Xenopus tropicalis: one gene and its partners. Each later gene encodes a partner of the first gene's protein in a complex. Links are inferred from orthologs where the notes say so. Each region holds a gene or a part of one and is shown in the gene's direction. Other genes may lie near its edges.

What was found.
Region 2: vdac1 (region 1) and peptidyl-prolyl cis-trans isomerase share a complex: the UniProt entries of both Homo sapiens proteins name them as parts of the mitochondrial permeability transition pore complex. The link is inferred for Xenopus tropicalis from reciprocal best matches to the Homo sapiens genes VDAC1 and PPIF.
Region 3: vdac1 (region 1) and spg7 share a complex: the UniProt entries of both Homo sapiens proteins name them as parts of the mitochondrial permeability transition pore complex. The link is inferred for Xenopus tropicalis from reciprocal best matches to the Homo sapiens genes VDAC1 and SPG7.

What each region holds. Positions count from the first base shown.
Region 1 is NC_030679.2:22,886,361-22,891,127, forward strand, and holds part of vdac1 (voltage-dependent anion-selective channel protein 1), read left to right. Parts: coding exon 1-8; intron 9-844; coding exon 845-997; intron 998-1,087; coding exon 1,088-1,140; intron 1,141-2,093; coding exon 2,094-2,321; intron 2,322-3,986; coding exon 3,987-4,137; intron 4,138-4,767. UniProt on the Homo sapiens protein: Non-selective voltage-gated ion channel that mediates the transport of anions and cations through the mitochondrion outer membrane and plasma membrane.
Region 2 is NC_030679.2:126,259,673-126,265,171, reverse strand, and holds the start of peptidyl-prolyl cis-trans isomerase, read left to right. Parts: upstream 1-1,909; 5' UTR 1,910-2,045; coding exon 2,046-2,114; intron 2,115-5,499. UniProt on the Homo sapiens protein: PPIase that catalyzes the cis-trans isomerization of proline imidic peptide bonds in oligopeptides and may therefore assist protein folding. Involved in regulation of the mitochondrial permeability transition pore (mPTP).
Region 3 is NC_030680.2:58,785,567-58,791,020, forward strand, and holds the start of spg7 (paraplegin), read left to right. Parts: upstream 1-1,638; 5' UTR 1,639-1,776; coding exon 1,777-1,878; intron 1,879-3,470; coding exon 3,471-3,573; intron 3,574-3,694; coding exon 3,695-3,784; intron 3,785-4,080; coding exon 4,081-4,322; intron 4,323-5,454. UniProt on the Homo sapiens protein: Catalytic component of the m-AAA protease, a protease that plays a key role in proteostasis of inner mitochondrial membrane proteins, and which is essential for axonal and neuron development.

The sequences.
Region 1 (4,767 bases):
ACGGACTGGTAAGTCTAAATAGGTTGCATGGCAACACTCTTGCATATGAGTGGTATCTATATTGCCTAAACAAAACATTGTCTCTGCTACAGCTTCTTTATAGTTAGTAAGTGGGCATAATACTGTTTGTAATTCCATATTTGTTACTGAACAAAATGCTGTGTAAGTTTTTATTTTATTTTATTATTGAATGGCACTTTCAAAATAAACTCATCAACCTAAAACAAACAATTCCACAGTACATTATTTGTACATGTGTCTGTATTATTGTAAAGCCACAGTCACAAGAAATTGCAACAAACAATTGCCAGTGGTTTCCAGTTTTGTGATATTTTCTATATAATCCATGTAAATTTTCCTACAGGCTGTTCTTCCAAGCTGTCATTCTGCTGTAATTGGGGACAAATGCAAGTGCAAATTATTTTAGTAGAAGATAAAGCAGTTTTTTTTATATCAAGCACATGATTGTGGTAACATCCTGTTGCTTAGTTCTTTCACATCCGCTTCTTATTACACCCTTAAAACATCACAAATCATTTCAGGTTGTTTACCTCACCTTGTGCCTTAGTGCTTTTCCATAACATTCTCTAATATTACCTGCTTGCATGGTGTTTTTGACACATATTTAACATAATTCTGTTATTAGCAGCAGGTAAAGTATATTGCAACTATTGTATATATTGCAACTAATACATGTAGTTCTGTGTACCACTATAAGCGAAGGAATCAAGTCACTTCACGTTTGATAGGCGTCAGTGAACAGAAAAAGGATTGCACCATGTGGAACCATGATTACACAACTTCCAGTAACAGAATATTGTGTGTATACTTCTCTGACTTACAGGAATTTACAAGCTCAGGATCAGCGAATGCAGAGACTAACAAAGTTGCTGGCAGCTTGGAAACCAAATACAAATGGGCAGAATATGGCCTTACTTTCACAGAAAAGTGGAATACAGATAACACATTAGGGACAGAGATCACTGTAGAAGACCAGGTAAATATCCTAATTTGAGATAATTTAACTCTGGAACTTGTGAGTAAGATATGTCTTACAATTTAAATACATAATATGTTTTCTCTTTAGCTTGCAAAGGGTCTGAAGCTGACATTTGACTCTTCATTTTCTCCTAACACAGGGTAAGAAGAATCTGCACTTAAATAACTGAGAGTTTTTAATTATATACAGCCCTCCAAGGGGAGCATGAATTAGTAGCTGGGGGACCCAGCATGAAAGATTAGGGTAATTCCACATAGGGCTAATCAGGGGTGTAAACGTATTTGCTGTCCTAGCTATCCTTGTAACTGGCTGAATAATTACATTTATAGAACGTTCAGCATAATCAGATAACCAAAGGCCATCCACACCATCCAGTTCTTTTCAGTATCAAATTTGCCACTGACAGGCAACAGGGATGTTCCTAGATAGCATAGGTTTTTAGCTCATCTGGAACTGATTTGCCAGACTCCTTATGCTTGCTCAGCTCCACTGTAAATTTATAGGACTACTGTGAGTGAAAATAGATAGGCGTAAAGCTTACAAATAAATTATGCATGAGATCTAGGCAACATTTAAATCTGTATAGTGTAGTGGAAAGATGGCTGAAACTCTGTGTGGCTTTACTAGCAAGAGGTATTAATTATTTGTGTTATTATTAGTTACTGGTAGGATTACCTTTTGCTTTGATTTTCTGCCTCACACAACTTAGCAAGTTTTGCTGGGTTACACAAACACTTCAAAATATTGAAAAAACAGTGCATTTCACTGGGTTAAACTAATGTGACTTTGGCAAACAAAAAAGCTTTATCCAGATTTGATCCTCGCTGAATACTGGGGAGAGCTTTTGTGTAAAACTGATATGTATATAAAACATATCTTAAACAGGCGTGTAAACAGATGGGGTGGGGTGGGGGTGCATGCTTGACACCCTTGGTAGCCAAAAGACACTTCCTCAGAAGCATTAGCACCAAATTATAGCATTAGGAATATTTAGTAAGTCAAAACACACAATATATATTATAAAACAGATAAGGGAATCTATTCGCTAATAATAATTCCTAATACCAATTTATTCTTTTCTCAAACTATATAGAAAGAAGAATGCAAAAGTCAAGACTGCATACAAGCGAGAGCACCTTAACATTGGCTGTGACATGGATTTCGATATTGCTGGCCCATCAGTGCGGGGAGCTGCAGTGTTTGGCTATGAGGGATGGTTAGCTGGCTACCAAATGACTTTCGAATCCTCAAAGTCCAGAGTCTCCCAAAGCAACTTTGCAGTTGGATACAAAACTGATGAATTTCAGTTGCATACCAATGTGTAAGTCAAACAAAACATTTCTTGTATAAGCAATTCAGCACAATGTTAAAACTTTCACTGCTAATCCACATAAACATTTTTGTGATCTTTTACTTTTACCCTGTGGGGAAACATTTTGTTTTCCAAGAGATTTAGTTTGAGTCTACAATAGCTTGTAAAGGTAATGGTAATAATGAGAAAAATGGCAAATTGTGAAACACCCACAACGATGAACAATAAACAACAGTGCATTATTAATAATGTACTAAATATCCATGAATTCTAAATGTTATACTAATCAGCCAAGGAATTGCTTCTACTGTTGCGAGGGGGTGTGGACAATTGCAAATCATTTAGTGAAAAAAAGAAATAGCAAAACATTGTTGTGGTCAAATCATTGCCCTGACTATTATGAATGAATACAGGATTATCCTTTTATTATCTCATACTAATAAAAACAATTAGTGGGGCATTAACCCCCTTATAGGCTGCTGCTAGTTAAAGGTAACTAAAATAATACATTTTCAGTGACATATAAACCTGTATCGCAGAATTAAAAAAAATATATATATGACTATAATAAATATGCATATATTATAATATGGTTAAGGATTCTGAAATGATATGGGTTTTAACATACAAGGGGTCCTACTGCAGAGCATCTTATGGATTGTGTATATATATATATATATATATACTGAAACAAGCACAGCACTCCTAGGATTTAGGGTCTTATTCATAACATTCATGCACTTATTTTTTTGCCCACAATAGCATTTTTTATATTTTACATAATTAAAATAGACCAAAAAAACTATAAACAAAGACACATCTGATTTAGAAAGCCCCATATCTTCTAAGTGTAGCAATACCAGATATGGATAGTTTACCAAGATTCCTGAATGAGGTACCTGAGATATTTTTTTGCATTTGGTCATATCTAAGCATCATAGACATTTGACATAGACTTTTTAATAGAAGATAAATATTGTTTAGAGAGGTTGAACTTCAACCCTAAGTAACTTAGACTCGGCCCATATAAAGCTGACAATATAACGTATATACAACGCACATGTGCTAGGGTTCATTTCATCAGAAGAACTAACCTTTCTCATGTTTTTGGCTTGACCTAGAAGTCTGCACTAGCAGACCCAAATTTTGGTTTTAAAAAATGAAAATTTGGCTCTTAAAGTTACCAGAGGCGGCTTTTTGCCAACCCTAGTAACTGGCTGCTCACTGCCACCTGAGGCAAGGTTCTCACAGGAGCAGCCCAAATCAACCATTTATTCCTCCAGATTTTTCTGCTTCCTGGTAACTTACTTATATGGACAGGGACACCAGAGCAGCTCCATACCTGTGGAATTCATTTGCAGAGAACAGAGGCACAAAATACATTCTACAAAAAAAGTCCTCAGTTCCTGCAATGACATATCAGCCTTGCTGATCCTAATTATAAGTAACACGTTTTTATCTCAGTGAGAACCATTAACATAACATTTCACTAACATACCGATTTTATATGTTGTGTCTCGCATATCCCTATTTGGATTGTAAGCCCTACTGCATTGTGGGCCCTTTTGCATTGGTTTTTTATTGAAAAGTACAGATCATTTACAATGTTGCAGAAAATGCTGGCATGTTTTAAATTGTCCAGTAATAATAATATTTGTGGTATATTGCCAACAGAAATGACGGTACAGAGTTTGGTGGTTCTGTATATCAGAAGGTTAATGATAAACTGGAAACTGCAATCAACCTTGCATGGACAGCAGGAAACAGCAATACACGCTTCGGAATAGCAGCCAAATATCAAATCGATAGTGATGCTTCGTTTTCAGTAAGTACAAACAATGAAGCACATCTTCATAAACTTCATCAGTGGCAAACTAAAACTCTTCATGTTGTTAGGCCTACTGTATTAACTTCCAGAACTTACATGAACAGTTTGCTTTCATTTTTGGCCAAACCCTGGGTTGAGTCATTCATGACTCGACTTGGCTGAATATGTTCCAACCAAAGCCACACCTCTAAAAAATGACTTATTATACAGCATTGTATGTCTGGGCCTTTTTAACAAAGTAAAAGTTTATGTTGATAAGATTTGTTGGTTTTGTTAAATAAACCTGGACTTGAGAGGGATCAAGAGAGTAATATGTTTTGCCAAGCAAACATAAATTGCTTTTAAGCAAGCATTTCTGATTTCCATGTTCAAAGTGATACTCTTATAAAGGAAAAGGAAAGATACAATCACTGAGGGGGTGCAAAAAAGGTCTGGCACCCCTCAGTGATTGTAATCGCTTACCTTTTACCCCAGGCTGGTGCTTCTGTTAGAAGAAAACTGCACCAGCCTGGGGTAGTTGTGAGGGAGCGATCCTCTTCCTTCTTTCTTAATTCTTCTGAATCCTGGGGCCAGTGCATTTGCAGTAGGGTGAAAATGGCAACTTTCTTTTTAAAGTTCAACTTTTCA
Region 2 (5,499 bases), about 100 Mb from region 1:
GCATATTCTATATGGGGCCTTACCAGCGCTTTAATCTTCAATAAATGCCCCTTTTAATATAAGGGTATACCTTCCTGCTGCTGCCTGGCATGCTTGCTTCAGCCAAGTTTATTACCTACAACCACTTACAGGTCTTTCTCCATTATGGATTTGCCCAGCGCAGTCCCACTTAAAGAGTTTGCAATTGGTCTTCACTTTTAATTTTCTGTGTGTTTTTTTGTTTGTTTTTGTTATTTAAGCTTTTTGTTCAGCAGCTCTCCAGTTTAAAATTTCAACACCTATCTGCTGCTGGTGTCCAATTTACCATAGCAACCAGGCAGTGATTTGAATAAGAGTCTGGAATATGTATAGGGGAGTGCTTGGCCAGAAAGAGAAGTAATACAAAGTAACAAGTCTGTAGTCTCACAGAGCAATAGTATTTTGGCTGCCGGGGTCAGTGACCCCTTATTTGAAAGCTGGAAAAAGGCAGAAGAGGAAAGAAAATAATTCAAAAACTTCAAAAAAGTTGCGTGAAAGTATCGACCATTCTTTAACACACTAAAGGTTACCTTAAAGGTGACCCACCCCATTAAGGGTATAAGTGGCTGCATATTTTTACATCCCAGGTGCATGACATTTCTCCACATAAAGCACATCTGCCACTTAGCCGCCCAGATTGCCAGTTTGTCAATATCCTGCTGCAAAGATGCCACATCCTGGATGGAACTAATTGGGCTGCAAACACCGATACATTATGTACAATACCTTCCCCTAAGTCAGTGCTGTCCAACTTCTGTGGTACCGAGGGCTGGAATTTATCTGGCCTACTTGATGGAGGGCCGATAATGGAAGCCAGTTTTGACCACTCCCCTTTTTTAAACAACACCCACTTGAAACCACACCTATGTTATCACATGACCATACCTATATTAATAGTGTTAGTAAAGCAAAAACCTGCTATACTCTGCCTTCCCTCCTCCCAGCAGCTGATCAGCAGAGCAATAGGAAGGGAGCAAGATAGCAGCTCCCAGTAGGTATCAGAATAGCACTCAATAGTAAGAAATCCAAGTCCGGCTTGGGACTCCTCCAGTTACATGGGAGTAGGTGAAACAATAGGTTACCTGAAAGCAGTTCTAATGTGTAGCGCTGGCTCCTTCTGAAAGCTCAGACTCAGGCACAATGCACTGAGATGGCGCCTACACAACAAATATTACAGCTAAAAATACATTTGTTGGTCCAATAATACAATTTTAAATGGTAGAGTGAATTATTTGCAAACTGAACAGTGTAATATAGTTAAAACTATACCACAAAAATCATGCAGAATCCCTTTAATAAATTGAATAACAGGACCCAGTACAGTAGTTGATGGGGCAAAATCTGAATAGATTCCACTGATAAACTGGACAGCCCCACTGTCCAGCTTCTTACTAACCTCATAAAAAGCAATTAAAGAAGAGGGAGAGGGTTAATGGCTGGAGCCTGGGTTTGTATGTCTAACAGTCCATTGCATATTTCTTTTCAAGAGTGTTAGATTTTTTAACATTCAAATTTCATCCACAGAAATATAATGGGACTGACTGCTGGGGAGACGTAAGACCCACAGCGCTGTTATGAGCAGTGAGGTGGCCAATGGGAAATGCCTCCTAGCCATTGTTATTTTGGGGGTTTGCCTTGGATTGTGAGGGGACTGACAGTAGCCGAGGTCACAGTGATTTGCTTGATACCATCAGGAGGACAAGAAACGCTGCCCAGCTAGGAGATGTTACGGAAATAGCATTGTGTTCATTCTGTGCTCCCCCCCACATTAATCACATAGCATTTGGTGCTACCCACAGCATATCCTACAGGATTAGAAGAGGAATAGACTCAGCTGGTATCAAATATTCTTGGTTCCAGTGCTTTGGCCAGGCTGCCCTACTGAGCCTTATCTGCTTTCCCCTGTGACTGACAGCTAGGGCTGACTGACAGCTAGGGCAGGGGGAAGCCTAGGTATATATAAGACAGGGGCTCCACCCGTCCCCACTATAGCATCCCCCTCACTCTACAAGCTGGGCAGCCTCGCTATGGAGAACAAACGAGTGTTTTTTGACATATCCGCAAATGATATTCCCCTTGGTCGGATAGTGATGGAGGTAAGTATGTCCCACTGAGATGCACCAGTATGGGGTGGGAATCCGACAGGATTTTAAAGGGAATCTTATGTTTTCACTGAGGGGCTCTGATAGCTGATATGTACAGAAGCGTTTCTTTAAAGGGCTTGTTCACCTTCAGGGTTACTTTAGAATGTTATAGAATGGCCTATTCTTAGCAAGCTTTCATTTGGTCTTCATTTTTATTGTTTTTGAATTATTTGCCTTCCTCTTCCTGACTCTTTCCAGCTTTCAAATGGGGGTCACTGACCCCACGACCCTCAAACTGTTACTCTGTGTGGCTACAGTTTTAGTCTTATGGTTACTTTTTTTTACTTCTATTTCTATTTCAGCCCTCCTCTATTTGTATTTCTGTTTTTTTTTTCCAAACCACTACCTGGTTGCTAAGTGAAATTGGACCCCAGCAACCAGATAGCTGCTGAAAATCCAGACTTGAGAGCTGCTGAACAAAAGGCAAAATAAATCAGAAACCATGAGTAATAAAAAATGAAGACCAATTGAAAATTGTCTCAGTCGTTTAACCTGTAACCCTCCAGTTGTTGTTTAACTGCAGCTCTCAGCACTCCACTGAGGGGCTTGCAAGTCCCATCTACAGTATGCAGGAGAATAAGGCAAGATGTAGTGACATTGTAATATGATGTTGTTTAGGTATGAAACTGAAACAAGCATCATCCATCTACCCTATGTGAATGTCAGCCCATGGGCAAGTGTCCCTGTCACAGCCAGCAGGGAGCCCATATTGTCACCCAGCAGCCTGAATGCTGGCACAGCTCAGACTAATGTCCTGATATGCAGAGAGCGCAGAGCCGCTGATGTGACAAATCCAGGGCCACAGTCCATTTCTGAGGCGATGCTAACAGGGCAAATACCTCGCTTCTCCATGCAAGTGTATGGGTGGGATATTTTGGATGAGCGGCCAGCTGATTAAACAGAAGACTTACTTTCTAAACCTTATTAATCCCACCGAGTCGTGCTGGAGCCTGTTCTATCTCCAGTTTAGGCGTTACGGCCACTGTCCCCAAGTATACACAGTCCTTCCATGGGGCCCGTCACCTGCCCTGACCCTGGTGCCAGTAGCGGTGGGACAGGCTGGTTGAGGCATGTGTACTCCATATATATTGTTTCTTTTCTCTCTATATAGAAATATATGGCGTCATCATAGAACCAGACTTACTCTATATCCACATTTTGGCTGGAGTAAATCTCTGCATATTGCAACCAACCAGCAATTAGCTTTTATCAATTACAAGATCCTGATATCTTTAGCTGAGTCTGTGCTGCTGAACTGCACCTTCTAGTTGTGGTGAGGCCTTAGCACCCCTAGATCTGCAGTCTACACCATAACCTGCCAGTCCCACCAAACTGACTTGCTAAGAGCAGGGGGTCCAAATGCTTGTTGTTTTGTTCTTTCTATTTATTCTTCTCTATCCCTTTTGTCTGTAATGCCTGAGAAATACATGACAGCGCCCTGCATAGAGGAGCCAGCCCTGGTGTCCCAGACAGAGCCACACATGGCCATGCAGGGGCTAATGTTTCATATTTCAAATAGCCCATTGCATATTTCTGTTCCGGGAATGCAGGGGGTGGATGGATTCCAGACACCTGTAATCCCCACTCTTGCCTTTGTAGTGGCCGTCCCAGTTGGGGATGTACTGGGAGATAATCGCTCAGATGCTTAGTACCTTGCTTAGACGCCCTTGCCCTGCCAGAGGGAATCCAATCCCATCTCTGGGCCCAGGCATTTCTTCTATCTTTGTTTCATTCAGCTGCACGCCAACATGTAATGCTCCTAAGCCTGCTTGTGTCATATTCACTCACATGAAGGTGCAACACCATGTTAAAGATGGGGGGGGGGGGTGTCCATCTAAAGCAGGGGTGTCAAACTCAATCACATAAGGAAATCTAAAACACAGGCTAAGTCGCGGGACAAATTTTATTAATATACTTAGTAAGATACTAAGGGGTATATTTATCACAATGTGTAAAAAGGGGAGTAAGGCATTACCGGTGATGTTGCTCATAGCAGCCAATAGATGTTTGTTACTGTTGAAATCTGATTACTGATTGGATGCCTTGGGCAACATTACACTCTACTTTTTACACAGCATGGTAAATATACCCCATAGTTACTATGTGAGAAAATGGAAATTGATCAGGCTGGATGGCCAGACACACTCACCAAATGCCACATAAAACAGTCAGGTGGGCCGGATTTGGCCCCCGGGCCTTGTGTTTGACATATATGATCTAAAGGATTTGACATAAATCAGGGACATCAGTGACAGGACAAGTTCAGTGAACTTGCCAAAATCAGGGACCTCCAACAGCATCCTATGGCAGCACTTGATAGAAGTTGAAAGGAACCCCTGTGATGTAGGGGCGCAGGGCACATTCTCTTTCTGCCTTACCCTATAGAAGCCCATTGGGGAGTTACCTGCCTAAGGTACTGTCTTCTTGCCCATAATGGCTCCCTGTTCTCCTGACTTGTCTATAACGCAAGTGTTTTATCTGCTGTTTGTGGACAGATCAGTCATGAGGATTATGGGAGATTTAGACCAGAAGTGGGAGCCTGTGCTTGATATTGGGCCTGTTCTAACATAGAATCTTTCACACCCCAGCCCACAAGGATCGCTAACAAGGCTATTACTGAACTGCCAAATTGCGCCCGTGCTGCCATGCTATCCTTATTAACACTCATGGTGTAACTGCTTGGGGGGCCACGAGTGTGGAAGGACCAGAGGGACCCTGACTGATAAGAAATTTCTGTTTATGATTGTGAAGGAGCCTATGTGCCCAAGGTTTTATGGGGCACTGAATGGGTTTGCTGTAGAGCCCACTGACTTCTGACTGCAACACTGGCCCCACTGCATTGCCTTAGGGGAGAGCTTACACATAGGAGTAACACTGTGCAGTTTGCTTGTAAGAATGTTTTACGGATCAGCTGTGTCTCCAGTTTTATGAATTTGCCTATAGTATCTGCCTGTTAGTGTGCAGCACTCACACCATCTCCCATGGTGCCCCCCGTGTTCAGCCCCTAGTAATCCCACCCTAGTGTTCCAGTAGAAGACAAACACCCCATCTGCCAGCAGGCTGACTGCCAAAATATCCTCACGGGGAGATAGAAATTCCTTCCTGACCCCATAACTGACAAGTGGACCCATCTGGCATTAATCTAGAATATCTGCATTAAATAATCAGAACTAAAAATGCATTTTCTTACTAGAAAGGCATCCAACTATTTTTAATTCCCAGCCAGTCCCCAGTGTATGGCTGCTCTATTCTGTGTTTAGGCCAAACACACGCACGTGGTATATTAGTTTTGCCCAGGCTCCACCCACACTGCCACGGCTCCAACACCAACCATGTA
Region 3 (5,454 bases), on another chromosome or scaffold:
GGTAAAATTTTGCTTGAGCACTTATATGCTACCCTAAGTAATTTAAATTATATTGTTCACTAGGTAATAGAGCAGTGTTTTCTTATTTTTGGAAACATTATAGCTTTTTGAGCAATAGGGGGGCCCTTTACTAACCGGTGGATTTTTTTCCCAAGATTTACAAGATGTGAAAAAATGGCTAAAAATCTGAATCTGGCAATTTGCCAGCTAAAACTGGCTGAAATCATGTAGAAGTAGATGGCAGATGTCCCTTCCCTGGAGGATTTTTTTTTTGCTTCAAAAGTTTTGATGTTTTTGAATTTTTGACAGTTTTTTTTGTGTGACAATTCAAAAAAGAAGTATCTGAGGTTCTGAGACTTCTTGGCACATGACATGTTAGACTTTTTTTGTAAATTTCAGACATTCGTGGAAATTAGTTTATTCGAATTTTTAAAAAGAAACGTTAGAGTTTTAGTAAATCTACCCCTATGTGTAATTAATTCACATACTTTAACCATCAATATTTTCAGCACCTTATTCTAGCAATGATGTCATTATAATATTTAAGAAACAAGTGCCACTGTGAAAATATCCCTGCTGTATTGATGCTCTTTAACCAGGTTTACTGAGGTAAAAATTCATACTTTAACAAAAGTGCCTCTAAATGTTAACACAGAATAAAAGTCTCAAAATGCCTAGAGCAGATAATTGCCATCTTATTGACATGAGATCTCCTTTACATCTATTTGATAGACTTTCGGTGAAAAATCAAATGAAATAAGTTGGATAAGAGTAGCTTAGTCATCCTTAAGTGTAGATTTAAGTATAAGTATGAGTTCAAATCCCGAAATGGGAAAAATTCTGACTTTGATCCTTTGATGCATGTTTTTGGAAGCCTCCCATAGGACTCAATGGCACTCTGCAGCTCCAACTTGGCCAAAGGAAAGTCACGATAACGAAGCTTTAATGAATCCGAATTGCGAAAAAGTTGCGCAAATTAACAAAAAAGTCGCAAAGAATACGCACAGTGCGAAAACTATGATTTTTTTTTGTATTCGGAAACAATTGTACTTTGATGAATGTGCCCCTATGTGTATATAGCAGTGATCCCCAACCAGTAGCTCTGGGGCAACATGTTGCTCACCAACCCCTTGGATGTTGCTCTCTGTGCCCCCAAACCAGGTAGTTAGAATGAGTTTTGAATTCCTGACAAGTTTTGTTTCAATAAAAACAAGATTTACTACCAGATAAAACCTCCTGTAAGCTGACAGTGTGCATAGAAGCTACCTAATAGCCAATCTTAGCTCTTAATTTGTACCTCCATGAACTTTTATGATGCTTTTATTGCTCTCCAAGGCTTTTTACATTTGACTGTGGCTTCACATGTAAGAAAGGTTGGAACCCCCACTATACACCATATGAACATTAAGCACTTCTCCTGTTCACCAGACCAGCGCTTATGTTGTGATAAAACACATAGTTGATAGCCTATGCATTCTCTGGCTTTACCGTATCCCAAACATATCTTGGAAATACATATCACTGCACTTTTTACATGTCGACGTCTAGGAAACATATCGCACACATACGCGCACGCGTATAACGTGACACAGCTCTTGTGCGACCTTTGCAAATAGTATCACTGCGCCATTGATACAAGGGCCGGAGGCGGAACAAAGCTGTGGTGGGCGGGGTGCGGTGGGATTTCCTGAGCGTCGCTCTGGATGATAGGTGGATGTGCAGTAGGTCGAACCGGGAGGCCTTGCCTTTAGGTCACTGGCCCTACTCTGCAGTGAGATGGGCATTTTGTTGCTCGCTCTCCGGGGCCTTCGGCTCGGGTCTGCGGGATGTTGGCGGAAGGTTCCCCGTGCAGAGTGCAGCGAGTCTCGGATCCTTCAGGTAGTGTGCGGCAAAGCAGCGAGCGCACAGGCACCCAAACCTCTTTGACAAACAACGACTTAATTAGGTTTCAGTCATGGGCAATACAGGATGTTGGTATTTTTTTTTTATTCCAGTACGCCCGCAGTACTGTATATGATAGATGGTTTCAATAAATGCTATCAGACCAGTGAATTATTTTTTTGTCATTATTTCCTCTAGAAAAATTGAAATAGAAATGCAACCTGTAAGTCAGGGCCAAACCACCAGAAGGTGAAATTCAATAACTTTGTTCCTGAAAGTAATGTCAGTAATAATGTCAGCTCTGTATATTACTAGCAGGAGAGTCAGAGGTGATGTAATGTTATTAGTGGGATTGTCGTTCCCAGTACCCACCCACACTAATGTCATGCTAGGAGATATATCAACTTTTAGCAGCAACAACTTTTATAAGGTAAAAGTAGCAGTGAAATCACTTGCTGCTGCAGACCGCTGTAGCTGTCAAAGCTCCATCAAGCCTGATGTCCTGTCTCCTACCCAGGCCCCCGAGTATATAGTTATATGCCATAGATGCCCGTGATATAGAATCACAACAGTGATTGCTATCCTTAATGTTTGTTCAACTTTTATTATGGAGAAACAAAATGAAAGATTATAAATTATAATATGGTAATGGCTAGAAGATCCTATTAAAATGTACCAGTGTAGTATTTCAGTATATCCTTCAGTTTTCCTTGTAAAAAAAGTAGTCCTGGCCAATCTCTGTTACTTTGGGTTATATCATGCATGTTTACAATGCTGGCATATATGTGTTATTGAACTACAATTGCCTGCTGTAGTTTTCCAGCAGCATCTAGGAAGCCACAGGCTAGACATTCCAGATTTAATCTGGCCATGTACATACCAATAAAATCATACAATCATGCCATTTTCAGTATGTCTAATTTGGGGGAGATGACACCAATCAGTATATTTGTACTATGATTTCCATAGAATTGTCAATTAAATAGGCAAAAATGAATCTGTTGACCATTAGTCAGCAGATGGTATTCTGGCAGATAAGGAAATTGAGATGAATTGCTGCTGCTCCTCTTACAATCCTGTAGTGCCAATCTTTTAGGCTGTTGGCCTGAACAAATGGTAAAATAAAAAGGTGGCCATACCTGTAATATTCTGTTTGATTTGCAGGCAAGCCCTTACTGACAGTCTGTAGATTCTGACAAATACCTGCTATAAAAAAGCCATAGAGAGTTCCTAAGGCTGTTTGGGATTTTGTGTAATAGGAATTTCTGGATGTGTTTTAAATTTTAGTCTGGACCTGCTTGTCAGATCCTGAAGAGTATATGTCAGTGTAGGACCATCTTAAGGTACACATGCCTAGCTGAAATTGCCTGTGTATATTCTAAAATAAAATTTTAGATTTGCACTTTTATGTTACGCTTTTGATTATTTATTGTAATTGATGTGTAGAATGTTATACCTAAAGGAAAATCTCCTTACCATGCGTAACCTTTTTGCCTTATGAAATGACTGTTTGCAAATTATCACCCTGCTAGCATTTACTTACTATATATATCCTTATACATGTTTAAAGTACTATTTTTTTCTTTTAGAATTTACTGTGCCGGAATCTTACCCCAGGAAGTCATGGAATGAGAGAATATTTAATAAAACGGCATCTCATTCAGGACCCCTTGAGAATCTGGAGGATATTAGGTTATTAATCGTGATTATGTCATAATTACTATTTTCTGAAACATGATTCTGAATTTTCTGTTTCAACGTCATGTTTGCACACTGTAGTCTAGATCCATTCATTATTTCTGCTAATTTGCAGGTGGAATAAATTATTTCAGTACATCGGGTAGAGGAAATAAAGAAAATCAGAATGAAGGTTCCAAAGGGAAGACCCCACATGAGGATGAAGGTAGAGATTTTTTAAGGCTTGCAGGTGCATTCGATATAATATATTAAAGGTCCTTTTAAGGGCCCTTCTGCTTTGAGCTTAGGATACAATAGTCCTGGTGCATTTAAATGCATCTCTTATTTATAAAAGTGGTAAAACAGAGTCCCCCAAAATCTATTAGATGCTCAGTTTCAATTTTCATATGTGTATCATTGTGCTCTGCTTTTTTTTTTTTTGTGGAAAAATTTCCAGTTGTTTGCCACATTCGAAAATTGTGCAATTTTTGTTTTGACCATGTAAAATCTTTTATAAACCAGAGGAGAAGAAAAGAAGAGAACGGGAGGATCAGATGTACAGAGAGCGTCTTAGAACTCTTTTTATCATTGCTGTGATAATGAGTCTGCTGAATTCCCTGAGCAGCAGTGGTGGTAACATCTCATGGAACGACTTTGTGAATGAAATGCTGGCCAAGGGTGAAGTGATGCGTGTTCAGGTTGTGCCAGAGAGCGACATTGTGGAGATTTACCTATATCCCGGGGCTGTGGTGTTTGGGCGGCCTGTGAGTTATAGTTTAGTATTATTCTGCCTTCATTTAACAAAATAAAACAGGTTACAAATTGATTACCACACTGTTGAAACATGCTTCATCTTCCTGCATAGCATACTGTTGTAGTATGACATTGCCAACAGAATGTTTCACTCGCCTGTTTAAAGGACAAGGAAAGTCAAAATCAATTAAGCACACTATTCAATAGTACTACTATCGCTATGTAGAAACGCTATATTTCTGGCTTGCCTAGAGAAAGATTTACTGAGATACATTTACTACATACTCTTTTCAGTGAACAGCGCCGCCATCTTTAATAGGGATGCCCACTTCCTTTACCTCACTACTCTTTACTTCACAAATGCGTCCCCAGCCAGGCTTTGTCTGTCAGCACCCCCCTCCTGAAGCACTTGCAGGCTGTGTCTTTGTGATCCCACGCCGCCCCGGCCCCCGCAAATAACTGATCTGTATTTTTGGACTCATTCAGTCTTACATAAGTATCATCAGGCCAATATCAGATAGGGAGTTTTGTTTAAAATCAGCTCCAATGTTGGTGGCAAAATTAAAAATACCATTGAATTGAAAAGAATTGCTTTGGTTCTGAATAGTTTAAATTGTTAAAAACTGTGTAAGAAAACATTTTTGTGCAATAATGTGATACAGTTTATTCTTAATAAAGGTATAAGACCCGTTATCTGAAAACCTGTTATCCAGAAAGTGCTGAATTACAGGAAGGTCATCTCCCATAGGCTCTATTTTAAGAAAATTATTCTAATCCTTAGAAATGAATTCCCTTTTCTCTGTAATAATAAAACAGTACATTGTACTTCACCTATATCCTATTGGGTGTATTTAATGTTAAAATTATTTTTAAGTAGACTTTAAGAAGGGGGATCTAAACTAGGGAAAGAAGCCCTTTATCTGGAAGACCCCAGGTCCCAAGCATTCTGGATAACAGATACCATACCTGTACCAGGCTAATTTAAGAGCCTTCTTGCCTGTTTTGCCACTCGTGTTCTGAGGAATTCTTCTTTTGACCTTGCCCTTGCACATTTAAAAAAAACAAAAAAAACCATTAATATACATATTCAAGAAAAAGGCTTTTAGATCTTGACAAATTTTACTTTAGTGCTGCTATTCCTAC